Schizosaccharomyces pombe: one gene and its partners. The gene in region 3 interacts genetically with the main gene of each other region. Each region holds a gene or a part of one and is shown on either strand. Other genes may lie near its edges. The genes, in order: mgr2, coq10, tim13 and hap2.

Region 1 (7,577 bases), on a different chromosome or scaffold from region 3:
GTCACGTTGGGATTTTCGTTGCTGTAGAGAAGAACGTTTACTCCGATTGCTACTATGTTTCGACAGTGAACATACTGGGCAATCTTTCATTCAACTGAACGATCCTGAAAATGAAAATGAAAAGGAAGAACAAAATTCCATTAGCATTAGGGAATTATCCTACTTCAGCACAAAACTTATTTCATTGATCTTACCCAAAGAAGCACATAAGCAGCGGTATATCATGCTAAGCTCCTTAGCAAAGACAAGGGAAGCTGATTTCTTTTGGTCTGAAGAGGAAAAAACTAATTATACAAACGAGCTTCTCAGCAACCCATGCAAATTCCTTTGTGAACTAGATCATTTCGATTCATTTCCTCATCAACAACAAGATCTACTCTGGAAGTACTTAGCGGAGTTTTCTGCTAGTTTAGAGTTAGACCCCAACCTTGCCCTTTGGAAGAAGCAAGTTATTTTTTCAAAAATCGGTCATCCGAAGTTGCTGGTTATGCCAATATCTAGTTTCCACTGCGTACAACGTTTCCCTGACCTTGTTTGCGTTCAAACTTCAACTGCTGAAACGTTTTTGTCTGTGGATCGTGAATTAACAACTTATGACCTAAACACTATTAAGTTGTTAAACACAGCACCTAGTCGTACAGCTCAAAACTGGCTTTTTATCATGCATCACCTAGAAATTGTAGGCTATTTATTTCCACATTTGGTTCATCTCGATAAACAGTATAGTTTATTAGATTATGCAAAGTCTGTTGAGCACATTCCAGAATTGGGCACTGTACAACGAAAAGGGTTTTTGAACAAAGTCGCATTTGATGATAACGAGGCTTTACTTTACCAAGTTTAAACGTACTGTCACATAATTTTCTATCACATGTTATCGACCATTCAGTGTTGAGGTTCCTAGGAATCTCTTCTAGGATGGTAGTGTACCTTTTAAGCGAAATTTTGTTTCATCTGCACATTCATTATTTACAAACCTATACGAACTTGACAAAAGTTTTTACGAATATACTAAATATTGACTTATTAATACTTGAAAATATTATCACTTTTTTTGAGGTGGTCTAAGTAAAAATGTGTAGGTCGAATTCGTCACATAGGGTAATAAATGTAAGTGTAGGACCGTTAAAGTATGCTCTAAATAATCTTTTAACATATAAAAAGTAATGTGGATTATTTGCAAACACCATAATGAATGTTGATCAAAATACCGGTTCAACGTCGATAAATAACAAACAGCAGAGCCCACCGATACACAAACCTAAAATTGCAAAGGGACTTTAATAGTCGTATAATCTGGAGAATGAAATGCTTAGCGACCGATCATTGCAACGTGATAATAGGTTGGCTTAGGTGCTTTGTTTATTTACATTTCAATGTTAGTTGTCATGGAAACGAAATTCATACAAAATAAAGCGTATGCGGCTGTAAACAAACAAAAGATTCAACATTTACATTTACCCATTTTACCCAAAAATGGGGTTTCATGGATGTTTAAGTACAGATGAATATGAACCTGAGTTAATTGAGAAATATGGGAATCCTGAACCACCTTCTTCAAGCATATTAATTAATACACGACCAGTCAATCCATTTTTATCCACTTTCGTGTATGTAGGAAAGGCTAGCAGTTCTGAAGATGTGTCTATATCTACAGGTGAGGAGGAAATGCGAACCCTTTTAGTTGCGTCTGCTGTTAAAGATGCAAAAGGTTGGGTGTACCTTTCCGGAAAAGACGTTGAAGAAATAAAACAGAAAATAAAAAACCTGCAGGGATTACTTGGTGTTTCTATAAAAAAACTGGCTGTCGAAGCCAAAATTAGAGAAGCTGCTAAGAATTTGATGGTTGCCCAAGCTAAGGAGAAAAAAGGAAAACATAAACAAAGTACGATAGAGCATTACGAACAATGTTCTCGTAGAGTTAGAGAACTTTCTTCTAAGATATGGCTTATTGAAAGGAAACTTGCAGAATTTTATATGCACCTATTGAAGCATATGGTTGCTGTGTGCATTGCTGAGCTTAAACCAGGTAGCTGTAGCAAGGTATCTTCACCGGTTTCTGCCATCACCGCTGATGAGAGCGCAACTGGATTTCGAGATGAAGAAATAATGAACAATGAGGAAATTGAGCAGCTTGTAGAGCGTATGAGCCGTATACTGGAAATTGCTCAATCAATGGGTAATTCAATTCGTGAACCATCTGTCCTAGATGCAGTACAAATGAACGCTGGTGAACGGCTACTCGAGCAAGTTCGTCACTTAGAGCTTATTTTGAAACAAATATACGAGAAAAAGTTGGAGGAAGATGCTGATGCGAAAGATATTGCTCCTCGCGCTATTGTGAACTTTTGGCGGTTACTTACTGAGCTGTTTCGCGGCGACAATGATACGCCAGAGAAGAGTAATGCACTTCCTGATGATGAACTCGATAAACATTTGAAATCTGATTTTGACATTGAATCATTTTGCTTTCTTCTGCACCATCTATTGTCATTATACCAAACACAAAAGAAAGAGCTTGCTTCAAGCAATGAACTTCTAGCAAGTGTCCGAGATGAAAATACGAAAAAGCTTAAGGAGCTTCAAGATATCATTGAAGAGCAGAGTAAACATATGGCTCGCCTTCATAGGGAAGGGTTTTCTGAGGCCGCTGAAAATAACGATAAACCTAAAGAAACAATGCCTTGTACGTATGATTCATCTCTAGCAGATGACCATTCGGATACCTCCAACCTGAGTAAAGATAAGGCGAATACACTTTGTGCCCAGTGTTCAGTATATCTTTCTGAAAAGTATCAGCAACAGCAGTCCTTGTTGCAATTGGAGTCTAATATCCAGCAATTGGAAAATGAGAAAAAAGCTGCCAAGCTTATAGAAAAGGATCTGTTGTCTCAGATTTCTCATGTCAAACTGCAATTTGAGCAACAAATAAAGGCACATCATTATGCGAAAGACCAGGTTAGAAATTTGAACGACGAGATGGTTGCCTTACGTGCTGAGCTTGAAGTTGTAAAGGCTATGAATTCCCAGCCTGATGATCCCGATTCCGATTATGCAATAAAGCAGAACAATGCATTGCAGAACAGATTAGAGGCTTTGACAAGAGAAAATGAGTTATTACAATCTCGCGTTACAACTTTGGAAATGGAAAAAGAAGTTCAGGAGAAGAACTCTGCTACTGTAAGCAACCTTACGCTAAAGCAATTGCAAATGGAGAATATATTTGCAAGCCTCAATTTGGAGAATTCATTTGATTTTGGTATGCCATTAATGGGACCATACACTCAACAAAATTTGCAGTTAGAGGATGAAATTTCTGAAATTTCTAGTCCTTCCTATTCCTCCGATGATGACAGGAAAACCATCTCCGAGACTCAACCAGCACCTAAGCAAAACATTAACGAAGAATTTGAAAATTCGACTTCTACAGATGGGTCTGAAACTAACAAAAATGAACAAGGGAATAGTCTTAGCACCCCTGATAATGAACCGCGTTTGAGGAAGGAGAGCTTGAGCAGTGATGTCCTACTTGACGGTAGCGAGAAACCAGCGCAAGCTGAATTAACTATAAATTCAGAAAACTTTCCAGTTGACTGTAGCCTTCCTGTTCAAACGGGTGCTGACGTCGTTGTCCCTGATACAACTGATGAAGAAGTCATAACCTCAGAACCCGTGAAGTTAGAACAACCGATCAATGAAAACAGCAATGTAGAAGAAGCTGAAAAGGATTATCAGCCGTCTGAGAAAGATGACAAATCTCTTATTGGCGGCATCCTCAGTACAGTTGAAATGACCCAGTCTACTGATGTGAATGACGAGATTGAAAATACTTTAACCATACCTGTTGAGGTAGAGCATTCTGATAATATTGACAAAGGCAGTGAAGAAAATGATCTTGGAAAAGAAGCCGTTGATGAAGCAAACAACAACCAGAATGATGTTCTAGAATCTGTCGTGGTGGAACAATCTACTACAACTGATGACTGTGAAAACAAAGTATATGAAGGACAAATGAACGACAAAAATTCCTCCCTTGATATGGTCAATGCATGCGAAGGTATTAATCAGACTGCAATTGGGTTCGTTGAGAAGCCTGACAAGGTTACTGAGCTAATCGATGAAGCTGAAGAAAACATCGATATATCTCAGGACATCTCTATGACCGAGACGAACGCTGTAGATGATGAAGTGCAAGCAGAAAACTCCATCTTACAAGATGAAGTTGAAGAAACTCGTCAAGATGATATCGAGAAGGATGAGCTGGAAGACATCAAGGAAGTAAAAGAGGATGAAAATTTAACTACTTTAGAGGAAACAATTGAGATTCCGGCCAACGATATTGAAGTCCAGGACCCTGAACAATGTTCATGTATGAACAGTACTGAAAATGATAATATCACTACTGAGAATTCAAGCGAAATCGTACAAGTTATTCATACAGAAGACGATTCCTTGCATTTTGATGACAATGTTTCAACCGATTCAGTAAGTCTGGGGAATAAGTCTAGGATAAGCATGGATTCAATGAGAAACGACTGTGAAGCGTTTTTGCCGAAAAAGGAAAAATTCGGCTCTTTAAGGACTTTACACAGTTTTGAAAGTAGTATGAGGAGAGTATCTACTTCTGCAGCATAACCAAATACGATCTTCTAAATTTGCAGCTGTATAAGGAAGATGTTCCGATTATAAACTTTTTTCCTTCTTGGACCTTTTTGCAGGTGCTTTCAAGTTTTTTTTTGAATTTTGGCTAAGAAGCAAACGAAAGATTTTGAAGACTATGCTTTCGCAACTTTATGAACGCAGTAAATTCTGCTTATGAATGGTGCATACAACGGTTTATGGACTTGCATATTTATTTTATTCTGGCATTAATTGCATTTTGCTTTACCAGTTGGAGATTGAATCGAAGTTTTATATAAGATACCAACTAATAATGCGTGTACAAAAAGAGACAACAGACGCATTTACATTACAATTAGCATCTAAAGAAGTGATAACATCAAGCATATATAATACATTTAATAATACTAATGAGCATATGTATCTTCAACCCATATGTAACCGAATCTTCCTTATGACAAGCATTATTGATATTGCAAGTTTTAAGGCACAAGTATTGTTTCTAAATATCTTTATGATCAAATAATAATTAGCTTATTTGTAATAGCTTGTCTTCGATCATTTTTTGTAACTATTGCTACAAATATTATTCATCGAAACAAACTAATTTACCAATTTACCACCTAGCAAATTACCCAAATCTTTAAATCGTAAAAATTTTAAGGAAAATTAAATCGCCATCAAAATATTAACAATATGGTATAAAGACTTTTTTAAACATGAACTATCAGAAAAATGCAAAAGTCCTTTGATGTAGCGGCCAAAGCTTTTTAGTTTAAATGCATGATAGTACAATCATCAGTACATCTTTAACTCAGAATTCAGGAGAAACAAATATTGTACCTCATATACTAACAAAATGATAGTATGATACTTTTATTATAATCGGATTAAACGAAATTAGCACTCAGCAACTTCATTTGATTTACGTGGAGAACTTTTGGCCTGTTGCATAGCCAAGGCAAAAATACGACTGGAATTTGCATTTTCATTTAATAATCTTTGATTCCAATGTGAGCCTGACTGCTGTATTAGTGGTATATCTTCGTTGCGAATTACAGAGCCGATGGACATGAAAAAGCCAAAAGTGGCCGCAGATGTTAACATGTATTGACCTAAGGTCCTTAAGAATCCACGTGGACCAGGCCCATAGCGCAAAACTGCTACTCCTCCAAATAAAAACCCGATGCCAAGTCCAGCAGCTGAACCCATAATGGCGCCCATTTTTACTGTTCAGTGTTAATGACTGAATTCATACAATATAGAACTTACGCTTATCCACAGTTGAAGGTTGCATAGATTGCATTTTGAGTAGTTAAAGGTCTTACTTTTATTTAGAAATAGAGAGCACTAGTTTCAAGGGGGATTTTGTTGGTAGGAAAAGTAAGGTAGTATACAGTTATTATATTGGATACCTAGGTATAACAATAGATGTAACAATTTCTTTTGTTAAATCAATAGTTTAGTTTAGGAAATGTTAATTTAAAGAAAACCTATATATATATTTTTTATAAGCCCAGTTTTTTTAAGTAAATGTAACAATGTATTACATCCAGGCATGCGTTAAGTGAGAGCATAGGCTTAACGTTATAATGACTTCTGAATTAAAATAAAACATTGCATTGGCATGTATTGCAATTGCTAAAGTCTGCTATGTATATCTGACATATATAATAAATTAATTCCCCTCGGCTTCGGATTGAATTTCCTACCTTTTGTTATTAAGAAGCCTATCGCTAATTAATTACTAACATGTCCTTAGCGAAATTTAATTGAGTTGCATTCTTAGTTACATCTACAAATGGCAAAGTTCTAATGAGGGAGTGTTGTCATTCCTGCAGCAATTATTTTATTATTTAATAGACAAGTAGAACATAAAAGAACAAAAATGGATATATGTATATATATATATATATATATATGTCAAAAAACATTATTTTAAAGATAGCCTTCGTCAGACAATTGTGAAAGGACAGCAAAAGTAACCTCAGAAACAGAGTCTTTGGGCTTGATGTTTACGGTAGTCCACTCAGCAGGTACTTTAACAGATGCATCAGCATCAGCCAGAGAAACAACAACGGCAGCACCAGCACGTTGCAATTCTTGGGCGTAAAACACTGAAATAGCATCTAAGCGAGGTAAAAGAGTGACATGGCGGCGACCATCCTCGTTCAAGGCTGAAACTAGAGCGCTGGGGAGAAGTTTATCGGAGGTGGCAGGAACAGCCAAAACAAATCCTTGAGAGTATTTGGGAGGATAGGATTGACGTAAAATAGCGACAACCTCTGGATAAGAGAACCACTCAGGGATGTTGGCACCGACGCGAAGACGGCGACGAAGTTCAGTACCACTGATGTTCAAAGTACGGGTACCGGGTTCGACTTTGTCAACTGGCTTGTAGATGTCCTCATCAGGAAGGTAAGTCATCATTTGGAAAGGAACAATGGTGATACCGATTTCCTGAGCGTATTGTTCAACAAGGTACTGAGCATCGTAAGGACCATAAAAATCCTCGCCTTGACTGTTCTTACCAGGACCAGCATGATCACGACCAATGATGAAATGAGAAGCACCGTAGTTCTTACGAATGATGGCGTGCCATAAAGCTTCACGAGGACCAGCCATACGCATGGCTAAGGGAAGAAGAGAGAGCTTGGCGGAACCCTTAGGATAGCGTTGGAGAATAGCCTCGTAAACACGCACACGGGTGAAGTGATCGATATCACCAGGCTTGGTCATACCGACGACAGGGTGAATGAGCACACGGGCACCGTGTTGCTTAGCAGCACGGACGGTAAGCTCACGATGGGCGCGATGCATGGGATTACGGGTTTGGAAAGCAACGACGCGATTCCAGTTGTTACGCTGGAAGTCAGAGCGAAGTTGAGCAGGTGAGTAGCGGTACTCTACGAAATCGAAATGGCGAATAGGAGTAACGGCTTGAAGTTTACCACCAA
Region 2 (9,059 bases), on a different chromosome or scaffold from region 3:
TATATATCGATATTGGAACAACTTTTTGGCGGAGCTTTGGAAAAGCGTATACGACTACAACTGTTTCAGTTGTTTACGCCTGAGAAGATTTATAGGAAGTTACGCGAGTTTAGACGAGGACTTGAAGGTAAATCTAATCATGATCACTCCAAAGACCGCCGTCATTCACGGGCGCGAAAGCCAGCTTATGCTGATAGGAATCAATTGAAAGCAGAAGCAGGGATTTTGCTTGCTTCCATGTTTCCCGGCTATACACCTGATATTGCTGTGAAAAGAATATTTCGTATTCTCCAAAACCAATCTCTAAACGCTCATGTTATATACACCCTTCTTGACGAGATTTTGCTGGCTTTAAAGAAACACGCTAGATCAACTAATAAGGCAACTTGAGTGTCACTTTTTTACCTCTCTTGTTAAATCATAGCAAGAGTAATCATGTTCATGCTTTTCTTTAATCATATAATGTAATTTCTTCATAGGATTTGATAATACTTTATTACAATTCATCCACTAGATAATTTCAAATCCTGTATTGTTACTGACTTTAAAAGAAGGGTTATACCATTTGAAGTACAAATTATGCGTAAAAATTAAAGCAAAAAGACTTTTTCATTTTAGCCAAAAACTATCAAATTACTATGATTTTTCTATCCCCTCTCCATTTTCTTGCATAAGCAAATGGTGGCTTCTAGTAGCGATGTCGGGTAGAGTAATCTTTTGGAGAAATAACAAGACCTTTACCTTTTCTAGCACCACGAAAAATAGTTTCTATAATATCGATCATCTCTTGTTTATCTTCTAACGGCCAGTTGATTTTGTTATTGTTACCAGTACCTAAGTCAATCATCATGTGTTTGTTTCGATAAAAAAACATTATTGTAGTTCTGTCATAAAGCTCGTACATCTAGATGGTAATAAGGTTAGCAACATGACTTTCCAACTAAGACTTAGACTTACCTTGTTGAAGTCAGGAACTTCGTCAATGTCCACTAAATATATGACAGCCATGTTGACGACCTTTTCAGCAATTCTGTATAGGACTTCATCTTGTTTTATACATTCTTCATCCTATTCCGTTACGCGTTAGTAAATTAATCCGCCTACAATATTAAATAGACTTAATCCAAGTAGATATCGACATTAGAACATACATGATCTCTACCAAATCGAATGACAACCAAGCGCTCTTGTTCTATTTATAAAAAAAAAGGTTAATAAGCTGATTCGAAGTTGTGAAACGAGAAACATTCTACGTTTCTTAAAGTTCGCGTACCTGATAAAATTGCTTGATCAACGTGCCTATAAACATAAGTTAGAGAAGAATAAATCCATCTATCACAAAAACTTACCATCCAGAATGTAAATGAGGTAAAAAATAACTCATTATATCAACTGAAGCTGCTGAATTGCAATATTTTGGTAATTTCTAGCAGACGAGAATAGTGTAGATATGTAAGTCACACAATATACACTTTGCGCGTTAGGATGTAGCAATGCTTTAACTCTACGTAAAAAAGCGTATAATAGTGTAAATGCTATTCAGTAAATAAATTTAGTGAAGTTATGAGATTCTTGACACAAGTGGGATTGCTATTACTTTCGTACATTACATGCTTAGTTGAATCGTTGATGTGTTTACTACAATTATATATATTCATACTTCATCTAATAAAACAATGAAATTCAGAATTTTTTACAATTCTAGAAACCGACCGTTTAAGCAGTTTACTGTGTTTAAAAATTAAAGTATCCGTAATATTCCAAATATTTTGTGAAATACTATTATAAAAAATTTAATTTAGAATCGTAGCTAGGCCGTATAAAATTATTTTTTCAAGTCCCAATCGCAACATAGACGAATGACCTTTGCGTTTTTCTCGACTCCATAGCATAAAATTACAATTGCAAATTCTTTAAGTGACTTGGGTGTTCGCGTTGTAAGCTAACTTTTCTTTTTCAGATTTGTTTGGAGAGTGCAGGATATGCTATAAATTTGTATTTAAGAAAATTTCTGAAAGGTTAAAGTCGCCAAAGGTTGAAAATTTTAAAATGATGTTGATTCATGATAATGGCTTCGGGGAAGATAAGTGTTCCACCCATGTCTTAAGTTTTAATAGTAAATGGCTTAGGATTACTTTATTCGTCTACAAATTGTTGCTTCCTCTTGCTCTGTGAAGACTTGATATGGCCCCCTCTATAATCCACGAACCATAATAGAAATGCAAATCGTTTATAATGGGGAGCTAGAAATCAAGCTGGCGTTTTAGGGATAAACCAAATATTGTCCAAAGCAAGTAATAGTCATCAGTGGTTTCATTTAAAATACATCAATAGTTGTTAAAATGCAGATAATTATGCTGACCTGTGAAATTTTTGGGGTATGAAGAATCATGTAATTAGAGTTTCTTATACACTAACAGAGCTCCAGCTCTCTCTCGACTTTCAGGAATCAAGGAGTTATAATACCTCTGTACTTCTTCATACTTCAACCCTCGGGAGTCAAGATAGCTGTATAAGCTATAAAACCGCTCTTCAAAGAAAATCAGATAATCCGGCCATTCTTTAATTTTATCTAGAAAAGTAGGCATATTCTCGTAAAAACGATCCGTCTCATCAAAGGGCTTTTCGAACGGTTCACATGTCAAGAACTTCCATCCATTTTCAGCAAAAGGTGAATGGATATGCGACTGCCATGGTGTAGTGTGACACGGAGCAAGTATTAGACCAGTTTGGTTTTTTTCAGCAAGTGAATGTATTAATGGCATAACTTCCATGACTCCAAATTGATGAAATCGGCATAAAAATGTAATTACCAGAGCATGTCCCAATCCAATAAGGAAGAAAAACCGTGCTGCACGCTTCCAAGAGGAAAATGATGAAAAAAATTTTCCAGCTAAAGTAAGTAAAATCGGTGAAATTGGGTATACAAACCGAAGTTCTTTATGTCCTATCAGTGAATAGGGAAAGAAAACACAAAGAATGGTTCCCGCTGTTTGAAGGTCCATTGTGAGTAATACGAATGGAAGAAATCCTCCGCATATTAATGGGAGGGCTTGAGAAAGGTAATAGTGCCATGCGTTCAATCCATACAAAGAGGAAAGGCCTGAAGTAACATTAAATTGAAAGAACGAAATGATGGGAAAGACAAAACGACCGTAAAGTATTCTATCAGCAATAATATTAACTAAAAATAAAGACACACACAAAACGAATATGCCAAAAAGCCGCCCATAACCGAGAGCATATAAAAAACGAAAGCGATTAAAAACATTGGAAAACGAGAGTAAATCCTTTATGGGTGTTTGAGGATTTTTGTTCCAGAATAAAAGTGGGAATATCCAGACTAGTATATTTGTAGGTCGGATGAAACAAGCAAAGGCTGCGACTGAAATGAAGCCCAAAAGTGAAGAGTACGCTTTCTTACGTTGCTCAGGAGAAGAGTTTTCATATTTTAGGTAGTAAGAGAAATAGTAAAATCCTATGGAAGTCAATGTTGTCTCCAATGAATTGGAAAAGGTTCGGACACCAACGTACGCATTCATTATGGAGACAAGAGAGCAAGCCAACGTCCAATTCGCGGTTTTAGAACCATATCTTACTAGTGCAAATTTATAAGTTCCATAATCTAGTATAGCAGCAAACGTTCCTTGCAGGAGTTTTGGAGCGTTCGTGAAAACGAAGTAAGATGAGTCTAACTTGAGTACTTGCAAAACACGATATAGCGCTGCAAATATAAGCGGATGTAGAGCTGAACGGATTGCTGAGGTCCATTCCCACGTTAAGAATCCATAGCGGAATATGAAGTGATGGGCCACCTCTAACGATTGGTAAAATTCATCAGGTTGAAAGAACGTTTTTACCCACAACGCATTCCACCATCGGAAAACAAGAATCGCTAACCAAAACCAAATTCTCATGGCTTTTCGATGTACGTTACGACGGTTGGAATGCTACCGCGCTTCTAGACTTATGCCTTACAAGCCTTCGTTCTTGTTCAGTTTAATAAGCAATGTCAACGAATACGAACGGTTTGTGCCTTTCTGTCAAAAGTCCAAAGTCACTGAATACGATCCTAAAACTGGATATCCTACAAAGGCCGACCTTACAGTTGGTTTTAAAGGATTGTGTGAAACTTTTGATAGTAAGGTGGTTTGTGATCCTGTTGCCCTAACCGTGTTGGCAGACGCGTCCCATCATCGTCTGTTCCGGCGGCTTAAAACACATTGGAGTATTGAAGAGGCATCTCGGGGACGTGTTCGTGTTGATTTAGAGGTGGATTTTGAATTTGCAAGCAAACTCCATGGCATGATGAGCAAGTTTGTTGGATCTTCTGTAGCTTCTGAAATCATTCAAGGATTCGTCCAACAGGCTAAAATAAAGCATAAGCTAGAATCAGAAAATGAGAAATAATTACAATGATCCTGCATACAAAGGGGCTATGCCGCTATTCTTTCCATCTCAGCGTTTTTCCATCGTCTCTCTTTCAACCAAAGAAGGATATATTTTTATAAAAGGTTTCTTTTAGGAAATCATGGCTTCAGTAAGCTAAATTTTGGATCCTTCTCTTCACCTTATGTATTTATTTTATTTCATTTTTTTGGATACTCGCCAATATCATGGTATAGTTTGCTTTACTGCAATTTTTTTGATGCACAACAAAAAACTTGGTAAATTATTTCTCTACTATTAAATCAAGAGCTTAGGAGGAATTCTCATTTCTTAAAGAAACTTTACTTTGACGAAACTGTATTTTTTTTTTTGTTTTAACAATATGTCTTGAATATGCCTTCCTTTTCTTGAGTCACTGATAACCAAATATATATAATTATAGGGGTGTCTCTCTTTCTATTTAGTGCTGAAATATTGCGGATGAGCTTTGCCTCTAAAGTTGATAACCAGAGATCAGGAGTCCTTGAAGGTCAACTGTTTACAAAATTATCCTTCCTTGCTTTTGAATAGAAGGTGAAATTGGTTATGGAATGCTTCATGAAGATTTGCATTCAAAATGCATCCAGAACAATCACAAGTGTTATTTAAAAGTAAAGAATCCCTGAAGGAAAGAAAAAGTGATCTATGATGATCGTTGTTAAAAAGTCTATCAAATTTGGTCTACTGAGATATATCTAGGGAAAGCAAAATCATTTAAGTAAGACAATTCATGAAATACCCGGAGCACCTTTATAGTCGACTTTTCTTTCGATGATAAACATGACATGATTTCCATTATAGCTACAGAAACGAATTTTATGAAAAACAATCTTGTGTTTACCAACATTTTAATATCGTGCTCTATTAAACTGTGCAATATGCAAATACGGTGTTTGCCGATTTGCATTAACGGGAAGTATTTCTCCAGTAAATAAATGAAGCAAAGTGTTTTTATGTAAAATCCTTTTATCGCTTTTAACTTATAAGGATTTACTTAGTATATAAAGTTGCTGAATGGAGCCTTAAAAGTTCTAGCTGTTTTTTCGTGAAATAAACTATAGCATCACCATTCCATAGGTCCATTAGAAGTTGTGGAAATTATCCATGAGCATTTTTATATAGTGAAATTAGAATAATTTTTATCATTGAAAATAAATTATTAATTTAGTTCATTTCGAGGATGAAAACAAGTTTTATTATAATATACCTCTTATTTATACCGCATTGTTTACATCGCACGATATAACCAAACGAATCCAGTTAACGATAGCTACAACAGCCATCGGTATTAAACTATAGTGATTTGATAAGATGTTTCGAAATATATACTGGATAATATAATCACTGTCCGCTATCATAACCTTAAAAAGAAATCTCCTCTACAACTGCATTACTTGTTTACTGTGATAGTACTAAGAAATTCTCCACGTAAACCAAAATCTATTTTTTTTTCGAAATCTCGTATTTTATATACATAGGTTTCCCCTGTCATTTTAAAGTTCTGATTGTTTCTTTGACCTTATGGAAACCCATTTTACAATGCATTCAGTATAACGCTATCTAATCCATTCTCATATACAGTATAACGTAGTTATAAGTATATTGATTTGCGATCTCTATCATATTACAACGAAATACAATCCAGTCTGCAAAGCCATGACTTATATGACGAACTAGCTACATTTCTTTCTCCATTAAATCGATTAAAGAAGTATGGCACAAGACGATTCTTACGAAGAGAAACCTGAAGTTATATCCAGCGACTCGGGAGGAAGTGGTTATTCAACTGAAATCCAGATCGTCGGTACAGTAACTTCCTCGGACGGTTCGTATGTTGAGTATGAAATTGTACACCAGGTATGTGGCTTGAGATCCTTGGTATCTATGAGTTTAGCTGCTAATTTTTATACTGTAGAAGCGTTCCGTTTGGCGGAGATATTCGGATTTTGAGTCCTTGGTTAAGTTGATGCGTCGGCAGTATCCCGCTGCAATTGTTCCTCCTATACCGGGAAAACAATCACTTTGTAAGTTTTCCAATATATTTAGATATAATATCTTTCATCGCGTTTTTTCATTTTCTTTTCAAACGTTTATTAACATGGGCTGTGTGCAATTCATTGTACACACATGCTCCGCTGTTTAGTAAGTTATGCCAAACATCCACGAAAAGCTAAAAGTGATGCTGAATTCTTAAATTTTCGCTCCAGGATGCTAGAATTGTTTCTTCGTCAGTGTCTTTTGCATCCATGCATTCGTTCCAATCCTATTTTCGATAAGTTTATTCATAGCACTGTTTCTTGGCACGTGACTTTATCATCTTTAGATTTACCAAAGGATTCAAATACTGATCCACTCCGCCTTCCTCCTATTGCTACTGAGCATGACCCATTCGCTCATTTGCGCTCTTCCATGCCACTTGTAATGGCCAACTCATTAAGTCCCCCTTCGTCTCGCGCATTAAAGCCAATCCATTCCTTATCTAATCCTTCAACTGCTTCGAGTTTAGAACCTTCTTCTCCTTTGGGCTCTGAGGATGAATGTCATCCCCCAACAAGCGATATGCAACCTACGCATGAATTGAATGAAAGTCCTTCTACCCCAACGGCACCAGACTTTCCACATTACAATAGCTCACCTTCGGAGTTATCTCCCACACAGCGTCGTTCCAGCATTTCTAATGGTAAAGACGCACCCTCTCCAGTACTCAAAGATTTGACTTCCTATACTCAAGAAGTGATTGTTTGTCGGAAATTCCTTCATCATAGTCTGAGTCCTTCCATACATTCAACTTTATCTAGTATTTCTAAAATGGAGTCTTGCCTTTCAAAGTTAGGATCGGCATTTCACTCTTTGACTGCTCTCAATGAAATACAATTAGCAAATCATTTGCAAGTGATTGCTAATGCCTTTGAATTCAGCGGAATGTACGCCAAGGAATTCGAACAAGAATTTAATTCCTCCGTCTATGAAAAAATGGTTCAGTCTATGCAGCTGGCGAAGTGTGCCGCAGATGCTCTTAAGTATAAGCAATTGAAGATACAACAGCGAGATTTTCTTCAAGACCAGCTCATCCACTCTAACACAATGTCTGCTACCGACTCTATGGTAGCTGCTTCACCCACGATACACCCGGCGACCAGATTGAATACTATTCAACGAGCAGTTGTCTCCCAAGCCAAAAAGGGTTACACAATTTTTGGTCGCTTACAAAACGTTTTACATGACTTTGTAGAAGGTGAAACCTCCATTAGCAAAGAAAGTCTCCAGCAGCATAAGAATACCATAGAGAATCAACTAGCGGCTGCAAATTGGGATTGTCAAAAAATTGACGAATTCATGGATGCAGAGCTTAAATTCTACAAAGAATGTCAGACGTCGCAGTGGGAAGAAATAATTAAATCTGTTCATGAATGTATCTACAAATGGGCACAAACAAATTTACAACGATGGTTGCGAACTCGTGAAGAACTCGAAAATTTATCGAAGGACATATAAGTACGTTGGGTAGGTTTGCTTATAATTGCATTCCGAGTCTTACATACTTTGTATTTTATTTTAATTTCTGCATACATCCTTTTTTATGTTTCTTTTTTACGATTTTGTTAATGACTAATAATACCACATGACAAGCCTTAACTATGAAAGTCATATTTCCCTTGGAAGATCTATCGCTTGGATAAATTTTTAAGGTCGAGTACATTTTATTAATGAAAAATTTATTTAATGCTATTATAGATTTAGAAATATTAATAATACTAAAGCATACAATGAAAGCTGTTCTTCTTTGTGAATATTCATTGTTCCTCCTCTTACCTTTTTATCAATATGTACCGACAAATCGTTTAAATCCTTTCATTTTTCTCTCTACCCTTTTTCTCTTTTTTTGTTAGTTAAAGTGTGCTCGAATAGAGCCATTTTACGAATTACTTGAATAAACAATTACTTAACAAGAACTTTAACCTTCTTTCCATATTGATCACGTACAAAAATACAATGTAATAAAAAGCTGTGGGATAAAAATGATACAAAAAAGTGATATTTATGTCAAAATATGAATGTACTGTTCAAATAAAAGGATTCCAACAAAACAAAATGTAAGAACCCGTATGTTTGTTCAGTAGTTTTATTCCTTCCCTTTGCGAAAAGGAGGTAGGATCAAGGATTCAGAGATATTACAAATGCGAGGAAAAAGAAACGCAGTCAATTCTTTTTGACAGAAGGGTGTTGATAGAATTGAATTTTTAGGAAAATCAAACGACATAAATGAGATGAATAAAACCAAAAGACATAAATCCATTGTCGGATTTACAAATTAGGGAAAAAAGGGTCCGCACAAGAGTGAGAGAAAATGAGTGTCATAAAAGGAACACCTAACTCACATTATCGTACAAATTTTATAACCAAAAGTTACAAAAGAATTTTTTAATTAAGTCGCTTAGTGAAAGAACGCTTTGCAAGGGTCCAAATGCCAGCTGCAGTGGCTACAAGCGAACTACTAATAGCCATAGCACGAAGTCCACGAGTAGATTTGTAAAGAGCACCTGTCAATGCACCAGCTGCAACACTATTTTCCCATCCATGCTTTTGGCGCTTGTAGCCTATTAAAGAATTGATTCCATTATACACGAGGG
Region 3 (7,472 bases):
CCTTTTGCAACTACAAACTCTACACAAAAATGGTTTTGAAATGTTTGGAATGCGATAAATTGCTTTCCTCCATCGAAATGGCTGAATTTCATAGTACCAAAACCAGTCATGATCAATTTGAGGAAACTGAAGAAGAGGTATGTATAGATTTTACTCCTTTTACTTTTTGCTGAATGGTTGAAGCGTTCGAATTGTTAACCATCCTTATTATTATAATTCACGAAAACAATAATTTGTTTCACTCGATCCTTTCTTTTTATTAACAACGATTATAAAACATAGATTAAGAAGCGTTCTCCCGAAGAGTTAAAACAAGCTATTGAAGCTTTAAGAGAGAAAGCAAAGGAGAAAAAGGAAAAAGAAAGGATTTTGGCTCTGGAAGAGAAGAAGACAAATTATAAAATCCTTCAAAAATCCAATGATGAAACTGCACAGGCTATGAGAAAGATGCAGGATCAAGCCCGCTTACGTGACTTGCAAAAGATCCGTCAACAAAAGGCTGAAGATGCTGAGCAGCGTAAGAAAATCCTCGCAGAAATTGAACGCGATAAAAAACGACGAGCTGCAGAACGGGAAAATAAGAATTCTTCTGTAAAAGAAACGGCTGCTCCCATCAAGCAGCCTAAAAATGCCAATTCGTCTTCTACTTGTACTCGCACCCCTCCTACATCAGGCAGATTTTCTATCCGACACGATGGTCAAGTTTGTAATATAACTATTGCAGCTGAGGAGACGCTACGCCAATTGGCACAACAGGTCGCTGAGAAAATGAACGTGTCACCGCCAACTAAGTTTACCACTACCTTTCCCCGTGCCTCATACGGCACTGATGTATTTGATAAACCGGTTAACCAACTTGGTAAGTATCAAACTAGTGTTTACTGTCATCATGTGTGACATTAGAATACATGTTTTTGAAAGAATATTGTGTTGCTACTAGCATCTAAACGACATATCTTTGTTTCCTCTGAAAACTTTGAACTATAGACATGGAATATATTATTAACGCTTGCATAGATTTGTTTCCCTCAGCCGTTCTTATTCCGCAATGGTAAAGTTATGACCTTTTGATAATTATGCTGTGTTAATAATGATTACGATACTTGATAAACTGGTAGAAGATATATATATCAAGGAAGATGGTGCTGAACGCGCCAAGTATCCAAGGCAGGTTAGCATATGTGTAGTTTAAGTAATCGGAGGCGGGAAATACGAGAATGCTGAAAGCGTATGAAGTGTTTCCTACAGAGGCCAACACAAAAAAGATAATGGATAATCCTTCGGTAGACTTTGCTTTGTGATTCTTGATGATTTGAGGAATACGAGCACAGAAGTATAACACAGAACTGATACAACCGGCAGTAAACGGCCATGCATTCAAGTCATCATCACTCTTGTCAGAAGAGGCACTAGAAATAATTAAGTTTCCAACGATTGTCGAGACAATAACCACACATCCCATTACACCAAATTGTTGACGGGTAGAAAGGCGATCCCACCAAATTTGTTGTTTACCAATGGGTGCATGAAGACCTTCTTCTAATGAACGACTTTGGAGTAAGGGTTCGTGTTCACGACTGGCAATACGACGGGCAGCTTTCCAACGATAGTAGTAAATTTGCATAAGTAGGGTACTGTCAGAGACAATGTAATAAAATGAGAGAACCAATACAGTAGAAGAGACATTTCCGTAAATGGAACCAAGTACATTGAAGAAATCGCCAATAAGCCAGATGATTAAAAATAAATCAGAGATACTTTCACCAGACTGGTTTTTATAATTTTCAAGTAATTGAGGGATCAGTAAAACGACCCAACATCCCAGGGATAATGCTCCTAAAAATGAAGACAACTCCGTGAGTATGTTAGCCATATCAAAAGAAGGAGCTATCACAGACATGGGACAAAAATGCTTGCGAACAGATAATTTTAAAATGAATTTGAGAAGAGCTTGTCTAAGCTTTTTATGGTCAAAGTTTTTTATATGAGTGTGGAGGACAATAAATAAAAAGAACGGGAAACAAAGGGCTACAAAAGCGAAGCAACCTGAAAGGGAAATCAAACTATTAATTTAATAGGAATGATAAGCAATTATTAAAATTTGTCAACTTCCTCGAACGTGTAATGCTTCAGCACTATAATATTCGCTGATTTATTTTAGCGATCCAAGAGATGATACTTAATGAAAATTCGTTACAAGTATTTTTTTTTGTTTTAAAAAATAAACACTAAAAGGAATATCTATAATAATAATAATAACAATGGTAAACAATATTTCTCCCACTGTAAAGAAACAGAAGAGATTTGGTGGTGAGTTTGGCTCTGGATAAGATCAACCTCCCAGCCGTCCTGTTATTTATTTACCTCGGGCAAGGCTATATAGAGATTTCAAGATAAGAAAAATTTGCCGCCCATGCAGTTTCGCAGAATTAAGAAAGTGTCCGTGGATTTACAGATACAATTGATAGTCAATCCAAAGGTATCATTCTAAAGAAATATAAAGGAATAGTAAGCGAAATAGATTTTCCTTCGAATAATCCTATTTCACTTAACAATATAATTCTCAATGTAAATAACAGTCGCATTAATTTTATCAATGTCAAGCTAACTCGTTTTTGTTATAAAATTTAATACACCATAATATCGCTAGCAGTATTAAACATTGAAATGTTTACGTGACTTGTTTGATTCTCAGATTATTTGCAGTAAAAGATGTGCTAATTCCATGATTTAATTTCGAGACTATAAAACTCTATAAAAATTTCTTACAAATTGGGATTTTTATTTTTTTTTCTAAACAAGGGTAATGAAAAGTCATGAACGATTCATTTCGTATATTAAAATATTAAAAATAATAATAATAAAAAAACGCTGAAAAAACTTTTATTTCTAAACTCACCAAAAGGACCCGAATAGTATATCTATCCATTAGTTTAGAAATATTTTATTAAATCTTTTTTTTTTATACCAAGTAGAAAACAAAACAAAGATTGCTGTCTGGTTGTATCGCATATGTCAGCATATTAGAAAATCCATTTTCTATTAACGAAGTCTAATTGGTGATGATGGCCGGTTTCTGAATTAGTCTCCCTAAGTACACCGTTTGGTACTTTCCACGAACGTACCATTTCCTCATTAATTTTCCTTGTAAAGGAGTAAAAATTATCCACATTCATAAGTTTTAACGTTATACTTAAACAAAATGGGCATTTTCGGTGGAAATAGTGGAAATGCACCTTCTTCTGAAGACAAAAAATCCATTTTCATGAAACAAATTCGTCAGGAACTTGCTGTTGCTCAAGCTGGCGAATTGATAAGTGTATGCTCCATTCATTTTTTATGTTTTATTGAATGTTTTAACTAATCGGTTTATCTAGAAAATCAATGAGAACTGTTTTGATAAATGTATCCCGGAGCCTGGTTCCACATTCGATCCCAATGAAAAGGTATGAGAACTATTAAAATACTTTTATTCTAACTAGACAAAAGTCTTGCGTTTCCAAATGTATGGAACGCTATATGGATGCTTGGAACATTGTTTCTCGAACCTATATCTCTCGTATGCAACGAGAGCAGAAAAATCTCAACTGAATAATAATGATTTTTTTTTCTATCATTTTGTTTTACTCTCCTATGATATGTGTCTTGTTGTATAGTTGTGAAGTGACGGCAAAGCTTAATATGCAACGTAGAAATTTTTCTTTTCAACGTAGCTCACGCGCTTTCTCTCTAATAATTATAAACTTTCAGCAATTAAAATTCGTTTCATGTTCTTTTCCTAATCATGCTAAACACTTACAAGTGTTGTTATACTACTGGGTAAAATACTTATAATTGTTTCTTTGACATGTAGCATTTAAGTATTATTGTGTAAATAACAGTTTAAATATTTTCATAATAAAGAACGATCACCGGAAAAACTAGAAAAACTAGAGATTCATTAAATTTCCTTATTCTTATCATTTACCTTGATTCTTTTGTTTTTGTTTAACTGATTCAACAAACTCCTTAACATTTAACTGACACACCACTTCACTGCAAAGTTGTTTTCGGTTACCCTTGGGTACGTTTGATAAGATCTCTAATCCGCTTGCTCGTTCCACAACCTCAACGGGAACTGCAAAGTTCTTTAACGGAAAGTTGTCAGCAATAGGTTTGTTGGGAAGAACGAATGCAGCTACTGATGGACTTGAGGTAGGCTCTCCTGATTTTTCTGCAATGATTACTTTAAAAAAATGAGTAGGAACTGCGACGTTGGGAGGATTGCCAATTACTCGATACTGAACTTCCCATTGTCCACGTTCATTTTTTTTAGGTAAATACAGCGGTCCCGTCATTATGGTAACTGAGCCGTATTTACTTGTAAGGCGTCGACACCAATCTTCAAAGTATGCCCAATCTAATTGTTATAGTTAGTAACTAGTCAAATTTATTAATGTATTAAAAGAAAAAGTCTCGTTAAGTTTTTGCTTACAGTTTCTATTGAAACCATCTCCCACTTGTGGACACATATTAGAAAGATAGAAAGTTTCGTTCATTGCTTCCTGACTAAATTTACAATCTGCTGCAGGTACTTGATGACCACGATCATAACCGCTTCCTCTGTAATCTCCTAACTTTGCTTGAAACATTTCAGGAATATTATCATCTGGAACGAACTCAGAGTACCTGCGATTGCCTTTGCGTTGGTTCAACGATTCTTGTGTAATGGTTTCCGCTGTCTAGTTTATTATTAATATAATGCACTCCGAGAGACCAGAAATTTAAACATTTAATCTATTGCCGTGATCTATAATTCCTAGGTAAAGAAAGCTTAGGAAACGGTGTTTTTGCTTACATAGAATGGATTTCGTGTTCTCCGATCGAACACAGACATATAGCCATGGTTTACCCTTTGGTCTGCCACTGGTCCTGGTATGCCGTATTGAAAAAATTTGGTGGCATTAAAATCATATATAGATTCTAAGGCTCGACCAGCAGAGTCAAATTTGGTATACCTGGGTGTCAAGTCTGGTACATCGGATCCTTGATATCCTTTATAATAAAAATGCGTGAAAGTTACACCCGAGATCGCTCCAATTGCTATTAATCCAAAAGATTTGATAAGATTACTAGACATATCGTCGATTGGGAATTAAAAGAAGTGGGAGTGTAGGTAAAGAGAAGATTGGAATATTCACTGCGTGTGAGTTTTTAAATAATTGGGAGTTATCGTTATGGCCAAGAAGAATATTAAAAATATATTGTTAAACATTAATTTTACGAGGTTTCTGAAGTAAGAAAAATTTAACTCTTTACGATTAATAATACAACATTAAATATAAAAGTCAATTAAGTGATTCATTTGTGGATGTTTAGAATGTATAATTCCAAATTCACGCTTATTATCAAGAAAAAGTGTTAGTAAATCTATTAATTTTAAAAATATATAATTCCAATTTTAGGAAACAACAGTATGTTAAAAAAAAAACGACTTTTTGACAGGGACTATTAATTTAAGAAAAACATCTACAGAGATCTAAGATTTCATCTACTGACAAAACATTTTGTTTATGGAACCAACACAACATGAAAATGACCTTGTATTTCCATTTCATCTGTGCTAAATCAAGCTTAAAAACAGAATCGCTTTTCTTATTCGAGTTGGAACCTTTGTTTTTTTATGGCACATCATAATATCATTATCTCATTTCAAATCGGTGAAATAAAGCCAGAGAAGACTAACGAAAGACCAGAAAATACCCCATGCAGCATAAGTACTTAAAAGCATTAAAGGTAAGAACTCAAATTTGTCACCCATAACCAACTTGTGAATAAAACAGTTATAAATGAAAAGAGGTACAAATCCTGAAATGTAAGCAATGTTTACTCTATTGAGTAAGAAAACTCTTTTAACTGGAACAGGCGCACATTTGTCAAAAGTTAATAACATAGCAATCCAAGCACCTGTAAACAAATATTTTATAGGGGCTTCATTAAGAGTAAATAATAAGGGAAGTAATGATAGGTAACCAGAAACCGCTAATGGACGAAATGCTTCCAAGTACCGACGGTCAATTAAAGACAATATGCTAAATGGCAGAATTACCATCAGAATAGCTTTCTCATGTACGTGCCAACCAAACAAAAAACTTATCCAACCACATAGAGTGACAGCTCCCACGAAAACCCGCCATGTGGGTTTAATAAAAAGTTTGATTAAAACAGTGATTTGAAGACCGAGACATATGTAAAATGTTAGTGCTGGGGGGATGTTTGGTAAAACAGCAAAAGAGCTTTCCCCAACCAAACCACGTGTAGGAGCATTTATTGACGTTCCCTGATTTAGTGCATAGCCAAAACGCGGCAGAACAGCAAAAGCAACACGATCAACAAAAGAGTACAAGGCCCAAAAATTAGGTGCCCAATAAGCATGACAAAGACCACGGGAAAAAGGAAACAATCTTGAGAGAAGTTGGGGTATTTGTTTCATGTAAATCCACGGTCCAAAGGCTAGTAAGAAAATACTAATTACTGTGCTACCAAGCTTTAATATGTTTAAAAACTGAGGGCGAAAGTTGGGAGTAAAGCAGTAAACACGTAATAAATATACAAAGTAAGCAGGTGCGACATAGAGGAATATATGTTTGAAACATATTAAAGCACTGAAGATCGCAGCTGATAATAACATATTTTTTTCTGGCTTTGCCAGCACGATAGACCAAAGTAATAAACCAAATAGAAAACCGTTATACTGAAAATGAATGTGATCAATAATGAGTAAACCTGGTGACAGAAATATATCAATTGCTGTTAGTAGAGCATTTCTTTGATCCTTCACATTTGATGATAGAACATATTCTCGCAACGCGAAAAGCAAAACCAATTCTAAAACGATAACAGATCCTCTTTGAAATACAACAGTGGATGGCGAAACGTAGTTCAAGTTATAAGGATCAAGCATCGCTTTGTCAAACCCGAAGAAGTATGCAATCCATGAAAGTACACATTCCATGTAAGCAAAAAATGGGGGGTAATCTAGCGTCCATTCTGAAATCGAAGATTTGTACCACTCCGATATCGGTAAGGAATGGGTGATGGCTAGCCAGTTTCGGTGGACTTCAAAATCAGTTGATCTGTATGATGGGAACAGAAATACCTTTACAAATGTGCTAGCGATCGCTGCATTGTAAAGCATAGAAAGTTTTCCCATTTCTATTGATTATTCATTCAAGTCAAACCAATGAGCTAAATGAAGTAAATGTTGAATGTCCTCCCAGTGACTGATTCGCAAAGTTGAGAGATGGAAGTAGTTGAAACGCACACTTTGAACTGACCCTACCCTCGTTAAACTTATATACCTCGTAACATTATTGTTGGGAAATTAAAGATTAATAAAGCATGTTATACGCGTGCTTGCAAACAATCGAAAGTTGGTAAGCATATTTTCCAATACCAAATTACTGCTGCATACAACTTAGGTTTGCATTTAC
Region 4 (7,587 bases), on a different chromosome or scaffold from region 3:
TTCCTCAATTGACCAAACTTGTTTGCAAAAGCAATATATTAGTTTTTGTTGGGACTGGGTGAATTTAATTTTGAGTAGTGATATTATTGTCAAAGTTGAATATCAAGAAAGTCTGTTATAAAGTCTTTAAAAAGGTCATTATTCAATGTAATTTGTTGATGTGCCATATGTTGTTGATAAATAGGTAAAGATAGCATAACTACTACTTTTTACTACTACGAAGAAGCTATTCAGCTATATCTACGTAAAATCGTCATGGTAAAGAATAATTAAATAGTTTTTAATAGAGGAGAATTTTCGTTAGAGCATTGGTGTTTTTTTTTTGGAATCATTCTTTAATTTCAGAGAGAATTGGCGTCTGTAACACTTTCATCTACACTTGACCAAATATTTTAGTTTCCTGGGCTAACAAGACTTCCAAAGATGGATCAAGAACGTAAACTGCAATTTTTGTTATCAATAGCGGCAGAGACATACGCGATTAGTCCATCATTGTCAAGCCACTACTTGAGGAGGATGTTCTCTCTTTTGGAGGAATGGAATTTGGAAACAGATCCAAAGACACTTTTGCACGGGTGTTCCAAATGTGGATCTTTGTTTATATTTGGCCGTAATATAAAACTTCGTACAATTAGTTCAGAGAGGAAGGCACGGACAGATTTGAAGAAAGGAGAGGTCTCAAGGTTGGGCACAAATTTAGAAATTAACTGCTTAGTCTGCTCTTATGTTCATGAAATTCCTTTAGGGGTACCTCTTCGCTTGCACCAAAGCAAACAAGCGTTACGTGCTAAAGCTATTGCTGAATCTTCATCTACGAAACTCGAAAGTCGAAAATCTGCCCATAATGCCAAAGTAAAACAAAGACAACGTTTGAGAGCCTCCGGACTTAATGGAATTTTGGATAGGAAGAAAAAAAAAGATGAGGTTGCAAAAAGCACATCTTCATTAAGTTTACAAGACTTTATGTCACCGATATGAGTGATTCTGATTGATCTATCAATTTTCTATCTAGTTGTCATATTCTTATACACATATTTTCCCTCTAAAATGAGGATTGAAACTTTTCTGACATTTATTACAGCCTTCAGCGCCGTGTACTTCTTCCTCTTTTAGTTCAGCTCATTTGTCTTAATGTAGTTTTGATTTAAAATTTGAACTTCCCGTTTTAGATTTGATCGTTACCTTTTCCCGTTGTTTACTTTTATTTACATTTGTATTAGAACTATTCGTTTGGGTTGGACGAGTTTAGACAAGGGGCCCCTTCTTCTATTTGTATTTACTTTTAACTTATTTATTTACTATTTCTTTGATTTGTCACTTGTATGGTGCGAAATATATACGGAAATGTCAATCACAGAATAGCAAACAAATCGTCAACTTGCGGTTATTGTGCGTAGCATATTTTCAGTAGTTTTCTTTTGACAACGCCCTTATGAGCATATTTTTAAGTTTCCGATTAATCGTTCATTCCTTTACAAGAGAGGTCTCTCACTGTCTACCACCTGAAGTTGAGCTTGTGTCAATTACCAACTCCAGTTTTGCATTCTGAGGATGAGTAATAGAATTGGGCCTCAGAGATCCACAAAAACTGCAGCGAAGCTTCGGCTTCTTCCTTCTACAGAAGAATTTGATGATTTTAGAAGGCAGGATACGGGGCGCGAAGTGTACTCCCAAATTCCTCAAATAGAAGGGTCAACGGCAAAACGAGACGCAGAGCATCTTGGAAAACGGCATCGAGAATTCTTACCAAGAGTAACTGCCTATTGTACATGCGATACATTTAGAGTCGACTTGCTGTTTAAGTTTTTTCAATCTCGAAGAAGTAGTCATAAAACAAGACCTAAACAATTTGACGAATGGTTAGTTAATATTTTTGCATTTTTCTCATTCTATTGATCCTTATTGATATTTACTTGAAGAGGTTTATCTAACATTATAACAGTATTTATAGTCCGTATAGCTACAATAATGAAGAGACGACAGACTTACTTCCTGACACATTGGAGTCCTCCCGTGGAACGTTAAATCGAGAATCTTCTCAAGAAAGTCTACAAAGTATTTTTGAAGAATCCGGGTTGGACAGGAATCAACCCTTGTTTCGGGAAGTGTTTTGCTTTACTTATGGCGTTGTTGTTTTATGGGGATACACAATTGATGAAGAGCATCGTTTCTTAAGAGAACTCGGTCGCTTTGAAATTGAAAAATTAAGTATGCAAATTACTTTGGGTGACAGTCATTATCATATTGTTGTATCTTTAAGCAGTTATTAACATTTGTAATTTTTAGAGATCGAAGATATGGAGGTAGAAGAGTTTAACTACTATATAACGACTCTTTATCAACCAAGGGTATGAACATTTTTATTGATAAAAATTTTTGTCTTTAGCTCTTTTTCCTCATGGTGAAGCTAGTCGACTAACAGATATAGATATTCAACGACTTTATAGCACTTCGGGATGCATCCAACTACATGATTCGTCTTTCAATTTCACATGCTATTGCTCAATCAGTCAAAATATCACTATTTGAAGAGCTGGTCAACGAAACAATAGATGCTACTAAAGATACACCCCAAATGATTGCCGAGACTGGCAGAGTGAATTTGAAAAGAGAGGAAATTATGATGGCCGTAGGCCAGTTGTTTATTTTAAGAATTAACATTAATTTACAAGGAAGCGTTTTGGATAGTCCTGAGCTGATGTGGACGGAGCCGCAGTTAGAACCTATATATACAGCAGCACGGTCTTACTTGGAAATTAACCAAAGAGTTGCTTTACTAAATCAAAGAGTGGAGGTAATTGGAGACCTACTTTCAATGTTGAAAGAACAGATAACACATACACATGATGAATCTCTAGAATGGATTGTGGTAATCCTTATGGGGCTGTTGGTGCTGATAGCCTTATTCAGTATAGTGGTACGTTTGGCCGATGGTTTCAAATTGAATGACTTCCGTTTAGTAATCAACAATTCCAACAAATTTATTTTACTGTTTGCTAACACATTATTCTACATAGGTGGATTGGAAGCTGTTTCAATAACAACCGAAGAATCTTTCCTCTTTTTACATTATGTTTACATAATTGAAGAAATGGGAAAGGGCAAAAAAATTAAACCATATTTATCGAGTTGATTACGCATATGTTTCGGCTTTTTCCTTTAGTTTTTTTTTAGTTTCGGTTAGTTCATGATTTATTGACATTACACGGTAGTCTTCTATAATAATCCTACTTAATAGAAGATAAAGCTCTTTTTTTCTCTTCTTTGAAGATTCCTAGTTGATTTCCCACATAAAAGAACGTTGAAATGGGTTACACAAAAAAGGACAACAACAGCCATAGTACGTAGATATTGTATTGATTTCGGCACAAAGTATGACTTTTCAAAAAATTACATAAGGTTTTTTTTCTTCGGTTGCAGAGTCCAATTTTTACCATCAATCATTACATACTTCATATACTTAGTCAAAAAAAAGCATGTTAACGATTATAGATCAATGGCCGGCAAAGTGATTTTAAAACGAATGAAGACTTAAAAATAAAAACATCAAGCGCCTGCCTAAAACAAGTATTATGTCTCACCAGCTTCCTTTTCTTTATTTAACCCTTTTTTCTCGAGCACTTTAGATAGCAATTGCGCTTCATGGCGATACCGCTGAATGTCTCTTTCAACGTTGTAAATTTTCACAGCATACATTTCGCATTCCTTTTCAATTTCCGAGACTTTTCTTCGAATCCTTGCGGTTTTACGCCGATACACGTCCTCTATACGTCGAGTTCATTAGCAAAAAGTCGTCAGACAAAAATCGGTACACACCTTCAGTTTCTTGAAGCAAATTTACCACCTACGCGGTCAATAAATAATTACAAATAGGTAATAAACCTCCTACCTGTGGATCCATTCCCGAAAGCTTCACGTTCTCAGTTTCTGGTGAAGAATGCAAAGCTAGTTTGCTTAAAATCTGTATTGTATTTAACGAAAAACTGCTTACTTCGTTATAGAAGATTGCCTACTACATTACGCAACCAAGGGTTTATAACGATACGAACCGAAACCGTTATCTAGTTTTCTTACCCATCAGCTGGGTATTGCTAGTGAAAAACAAATGTCTAATATAAAGCTAATCCTTTTTTGGCTGACTTCTCTTATCCATTCATATTACATTTTTGCTTCTTTTGGGTAGAAAAAGAATGGATCATGTCTCACATTTACAATACGAAAGTCAAATTTCAATAAACAAAGGTACATCATACATGTGAACAAATATTTCAAAAACGATTTATGATCATTTCATAACAAAGAATCATGAATTTACTTCGGATAAGTTCAAAAATGATATTGTCAGCCACTGATTCAGAGTAAATCTGTCATTCGTTTTATAAATGCACTGTCATAAACGAATACTTCCAGCAGAACCAGGCTCCGGTTGCACAGAAAATTTCAAGTAATAAAGCAGTGTCTCATTGGCAAAATAATTTTCAGAAGGGAAAAAGCGAAATAAAACAGAAAGAACCTTCTGAAAGAAAATTGAAACCAAATAATGTTCAACAACGAAATAAAAACAAACAGAAATGATAAAAAGATAATAAAAAATACAAGGGTTTCACCTTGCTTCTAGCATTGAATTGAAACAATACAGACATTTATGAGTGGGCTGAAATTAAATAAAGAGGGGCGAGGAGGAAAATTAGAAAAAAGAGAAGGGGTCAAAGAGGTTTTAGACGTATATTTTTTGGTAATATAAACCAGTCTAAGATAGAGGAGTTAATATTTCATGAACAAAAGCACATAGAAATTGTTTAAAAACAACGGCAATAATAAGAACCCGGATACACAATCCAAGTATTAAATTAAAGATCCCTTCAAGTACCCAAGAAATTAAGTTATTAATCAAATAAAATAATAAACAAAGACAAAGAAGCAGAGTTTCACTTAAATAATTGTCAAATAAAAATCGACATGTTTTTTTCGACCAAAAAAAAAGAAAACTTAAAAAGAACGAAAAATAATAATTATGGGGAGATATTAAAGCGGGCATTTGTTTTAAAAGCAAAAACTTTTTTAAAAATTGGATTCAAGCAAATTCTTCCAATATGGCTCTTGCCAAATATCATCATTCCAAATTGACTGTGGAACAAGAGAGTTAAGTTGAATGAGAATGTGAAAATCTTGAATAGCTTGAGCAAGTCGTTCATCCTCCCCATCTTCTTCGTTCGTAGATAGTATATAATCGTTAAAAGACTTGTCGCCTTTTAAATCATCGTTACACTTGATAAAATCGTCATAAACAACTTTCCATGCATCAAAATCTTTAAAAGCTTTAAAGAAAACCTTGTTGCTCAGCATGGAAGGGAGAGCAACGCTAATCCATTTAGCATAATCAATTCCATTCGACCAGCTATGCCTCCACAGATATACAAATATGTCCATAAGACCAGAGGCTTGTGCATATTGGCTGTCATCTTCGGTCAACCACAAACACAAGGTAGCCACAGCACTGATTACAGTTACATGTGATGCTAAATTGTCACGGTTTTTATTGTTATCCCATGCATCACGAAGAAAATCCATCGTATCGCTAAACAACTCAGTAAGCGATCGCTGAAGTTGGAAAAATTTATCAGGCTCAATTCTTTGGGCAAGAACGTCACAATTTTCACATAGATATCGAATGAGGAGTCCAAGAACTTCATAGCATTCACAAACCGTGTACGACACAGTTCCATGCTTTCCTTTCTGACCAACTGCCTTAACTAGCATTCCCAGACTTCCTCGAATCTCAGCAGAGCAGCGACCAATCACCAAAATCATAAACCCATCATTTGGCATAATAGAGGCGGGACCAGCAGCTTTAAGAAGGTTAGAAAGAATAACGGTAGCTGAAGAAAGATTTTTATCGGTGATAAAGCGTTCAACAACCGCATCCATCAAAGGCTGGAGATTAGCACGAATGGCCTCGGAATACCATGATTGAACCGGGAATCGCGAAAACAAATCGCTAAAAAACGAGAAAGTACAGTCCAACTTCCATCCGCGTCGTTTGTCGATACCTTGGAAAATGGGACGCATATACGTCTGTACGTTGTCGAGGGCGTATAGTGCGTTTGAAAGGATTTCAAATGCTTGTTCAAATGGAAATTCGTTGATAATAAATGATGTATAGTAAAGGAGATACTTAGCTGATTTTGGGTTGGAAGACAAAGTACATATAACCGGGATACAAAGATCATAATGTTTCAAACAACACTGTAGTAAAGTAGAAACCCTTTTTTTCACTTCATAACTTCGTAAAATGGCTTCTTCACTGCAGAAAGCGAGAAGGATGGAGACGCCCAAATCTACGTACTCGTAATGAGTGGAAAGGAGCAAGCGGTCCAAAAACTTCATATCCATCCTTTCCCAGCATTTGAAGATGAGATTGGGATGATCATTGAGTAATTTTGCAAGCATGGTCAATGACACAAATTTACTTGTATCGTCCTGGGCATGCAGCAAAGAAAAACAGTTTTCCAACAACTCCATAGAACCTCTCGACTCGCCGGAAGCATTTGAATCCTCGTCCTTATCAGTAACAAAATGAACCTCCGTTACATGGTCCTCACTCAGCTTTTCAGACGCATACGAGTCATCTTCGGAGAGAAGCTGCTCATACGATATAGTGCGCACGCCTTTGGGACCCTTGTGAAGATGAAAGTGTGGAATATGCATTAAGGTGAATTGAATTGTACCTCAATAACCTATTATTTATGAAAAAAAAACTTAAAACCGAGCTCTTCTCACTGCAGTCTACGACACTAAGTAAACTTTGACAAACGAAAAGAGGAATGCACCAAAAGTCTAACAATTTTCAAATCCAACAAATTTTCGTTCAACAATCCGAAATCTCCAAACTTCTCACCTTTTTCCTCAAATTCCACTCAAATCTGCCAGAAAAAAAATGTTTCTACTTCAAATTACACCAATTTTTCTTGATTAATTAAATAAATATCGAATTTGTAGTCCTCTACGACTTTTTACTCTTTCAAGCTAGGTGTTCCGCTTATGCTGAGGCAAAAAGGCATGCCTTGAGTTTTGTCTCCAATTGACGAATAAGGTATGCCCTATCTTCTGGTACTTTGGAAAGTGCCCCCACTTGGGATAAAAAGGTAGAATGCCCCCATTTCCTTTCCTATCGAAGGCCTTAGTGGTGGTTGACATAGCAACATAGCAAATGTGCTTTATTTACATAATAGATGGCAAACGACTCTAGCTACTACGTGACTCTAAACAAAGCAAATAAACAAGCTTCAAATTGCAGAGATTGAACGTGTTTTGCTTGTAATTTATAGTTGAGGATTTTTTCTGTCTTAGTGAATCCATTTTTTGAAGAAGCGTTGTGGTAAAAAAAATGTCTAATACTGGGTTACCCAAACCATGGATTGTCAAGATTTCACGCTCCAGAAATCGTCCCTACTTCTTTAATACTGAGACGCATGAGTCTTTATGGGAGCCTCCGGCTGCCACTGATATGGCTGCCCTGAAAAAGTTCATTGCAAACGAGTTGCAGGAGTCAGTTACACCCACCGAGGCAAGCAATTCACCCAAGAT

The links.
Region 1: mutations in tim13 (region 3) and mgr2 together harm fitness more than expected from each alone (negative genetic interaction), as found in Schizosaccharomyces pombe (one large-scale study listed by BioGRID).
Region 2: mutations in tim13 (region 3) and coq10 together harm fitness more than expected from each alone (negative genetic interaction), as found in Schizosaccharomyces pombe (one large-scale study listed by BioGRID).
Region 4: mutations in tim13 (region 3) and hap2 together harm fitness more than expected from each alone (negative genetic interaction), as found in Schizosaccharomyces pombe (one large-scale study listed by BioGRID).

The regions. Positions count from the first base shown.
Region 1 is NC_003423.3:1,564,927-1,572,503, forward strand, and holds mgr2 (protein Mgr2), read right to left. Parts: upstream 5,994-7,577; 5' UTR 5,927-5,993; coding exon 5,893-5,926; exon of another isoform or gene 5,850-5,892; coding exon 5,521-5,849; 3' UTR 5,278-5,520; downstream 1-5,277. Other genes in the region: protein meu25, read left to right, coding at 1-844; septation protein Uds1, read left to right, coding at 1,477-4,635; SPOM_SPBC27.05 (uncharacterized protein), read left to right, coding at 4,820-5,146; sua1 (sulfate adenylyltransferase), read right to left, coding at 6,559-7,577. UniProt on the Schizosaccharomyces pombe protein: Required for cell viability in cells lacking mitochondrial DNA.
Region 2 is NC_003421.2:877,251-886,309, forward strand, and holds coq10 (ubiquinone-binding protein Coq10), read left to right. Parts: upstream 1-3,915; coding exon 3,916-4,410; 3' UTR 4,411-5,644; downstream 5,645-9,059. Other genes in the region: sorting nexin Snx12, read left to right, coding at 1-390; U4/U6 x U5 tri-snRNP complex subunit Dim1, read right to left, coding at 689-904, 958-1,068, 1,152-1,192, 1,274-1,299, 1,350-1,384; gpi10 (pig-B family GPI synthesis protein), read right to left, coding at 2,397-3,917; sorting nexin Atg20, read left to right, coding at 6,142-6,285, 6,344-6,452, 6,572-7,923; TIM23 translocase complex subunit Tim23, read right to left, coding at 8,851-9,059. UniProt on the Schizosaccharomyces pombe protein: Required for the function of coenzyme Q in the respiratory chain. May serve as a chaperone or may be involved in the transport of Q6 from its site of synthesis to the catalytic sites of the respiratory complexes.
Region 3 is NC_003424.3:4,480,876-4,488,347, forward strand, and holds tim13 (TIM22 inner membrane protein import complex subunit Tim13), read left to right. Parts: upstream 1-3,115; 5' UTR 3,116-3,202; coding exon 3,203-3,319; intron 3,320-3,377; coding exon 3,378-3,446; intron 3,447-3,489; coding exon 3,490-3,591; 3' UTR 3,592-3,782; downstream 3,783-7,472. Other genes in the region: SPOM_SPAC17C9.11C (zf-C2H2 type zinc finger protein/UBA domain protein), read left to right, coding at 30-137, 283-859, 1,018-1,055; G-protein-coupled receptor Stm1, read right to left, coding at 1,085-1,900; endodeoxyribonuclease Pnu1, read right to left, coding at 3,960-4,399, 4,475-4,721, 4,838-5,119; dolichyl glucosyltransferase Alg8, read right to left, coding at 5,687-7,192. UniProt on the Schizosaccharomyces pombe protein: Mitochondrial intermembrane chaperone that participates in the import and insertion of some multi-pass transmembrane proteins into the mitochondrial inner membrane.
Region 4 is NC_003421.2:657,281-664,867, forward strand, and holds hap2 (Ino80 complex subunit), read right to left. Parts: upstream 3,930-7,587; 5' UTR 3,902-3,929; coding exon 3,890-3,901; intron 3,845-3,889; coding exon 3,817-3,844; intron 3,765-3,816; coding exon 3,571-3,764; 3' UTR 3,460-3,570; downstream 1-3,459. Other genes in the region: rpp21 (RNase MRP subunit), read left to right, coding at 424-978; sif2 (Sad1-interacting factor 2), read left to right, coding at 1,552-1,859, 1,943-2,208, 2,287-2,348, 2,429-2,917, 3,018-3,041; protein asi1, read right to left, coding at 5,062-6,708; peptidyl-prolyl cis-trans isomerase Pin1, read left to right, coding at 7,388-7,587.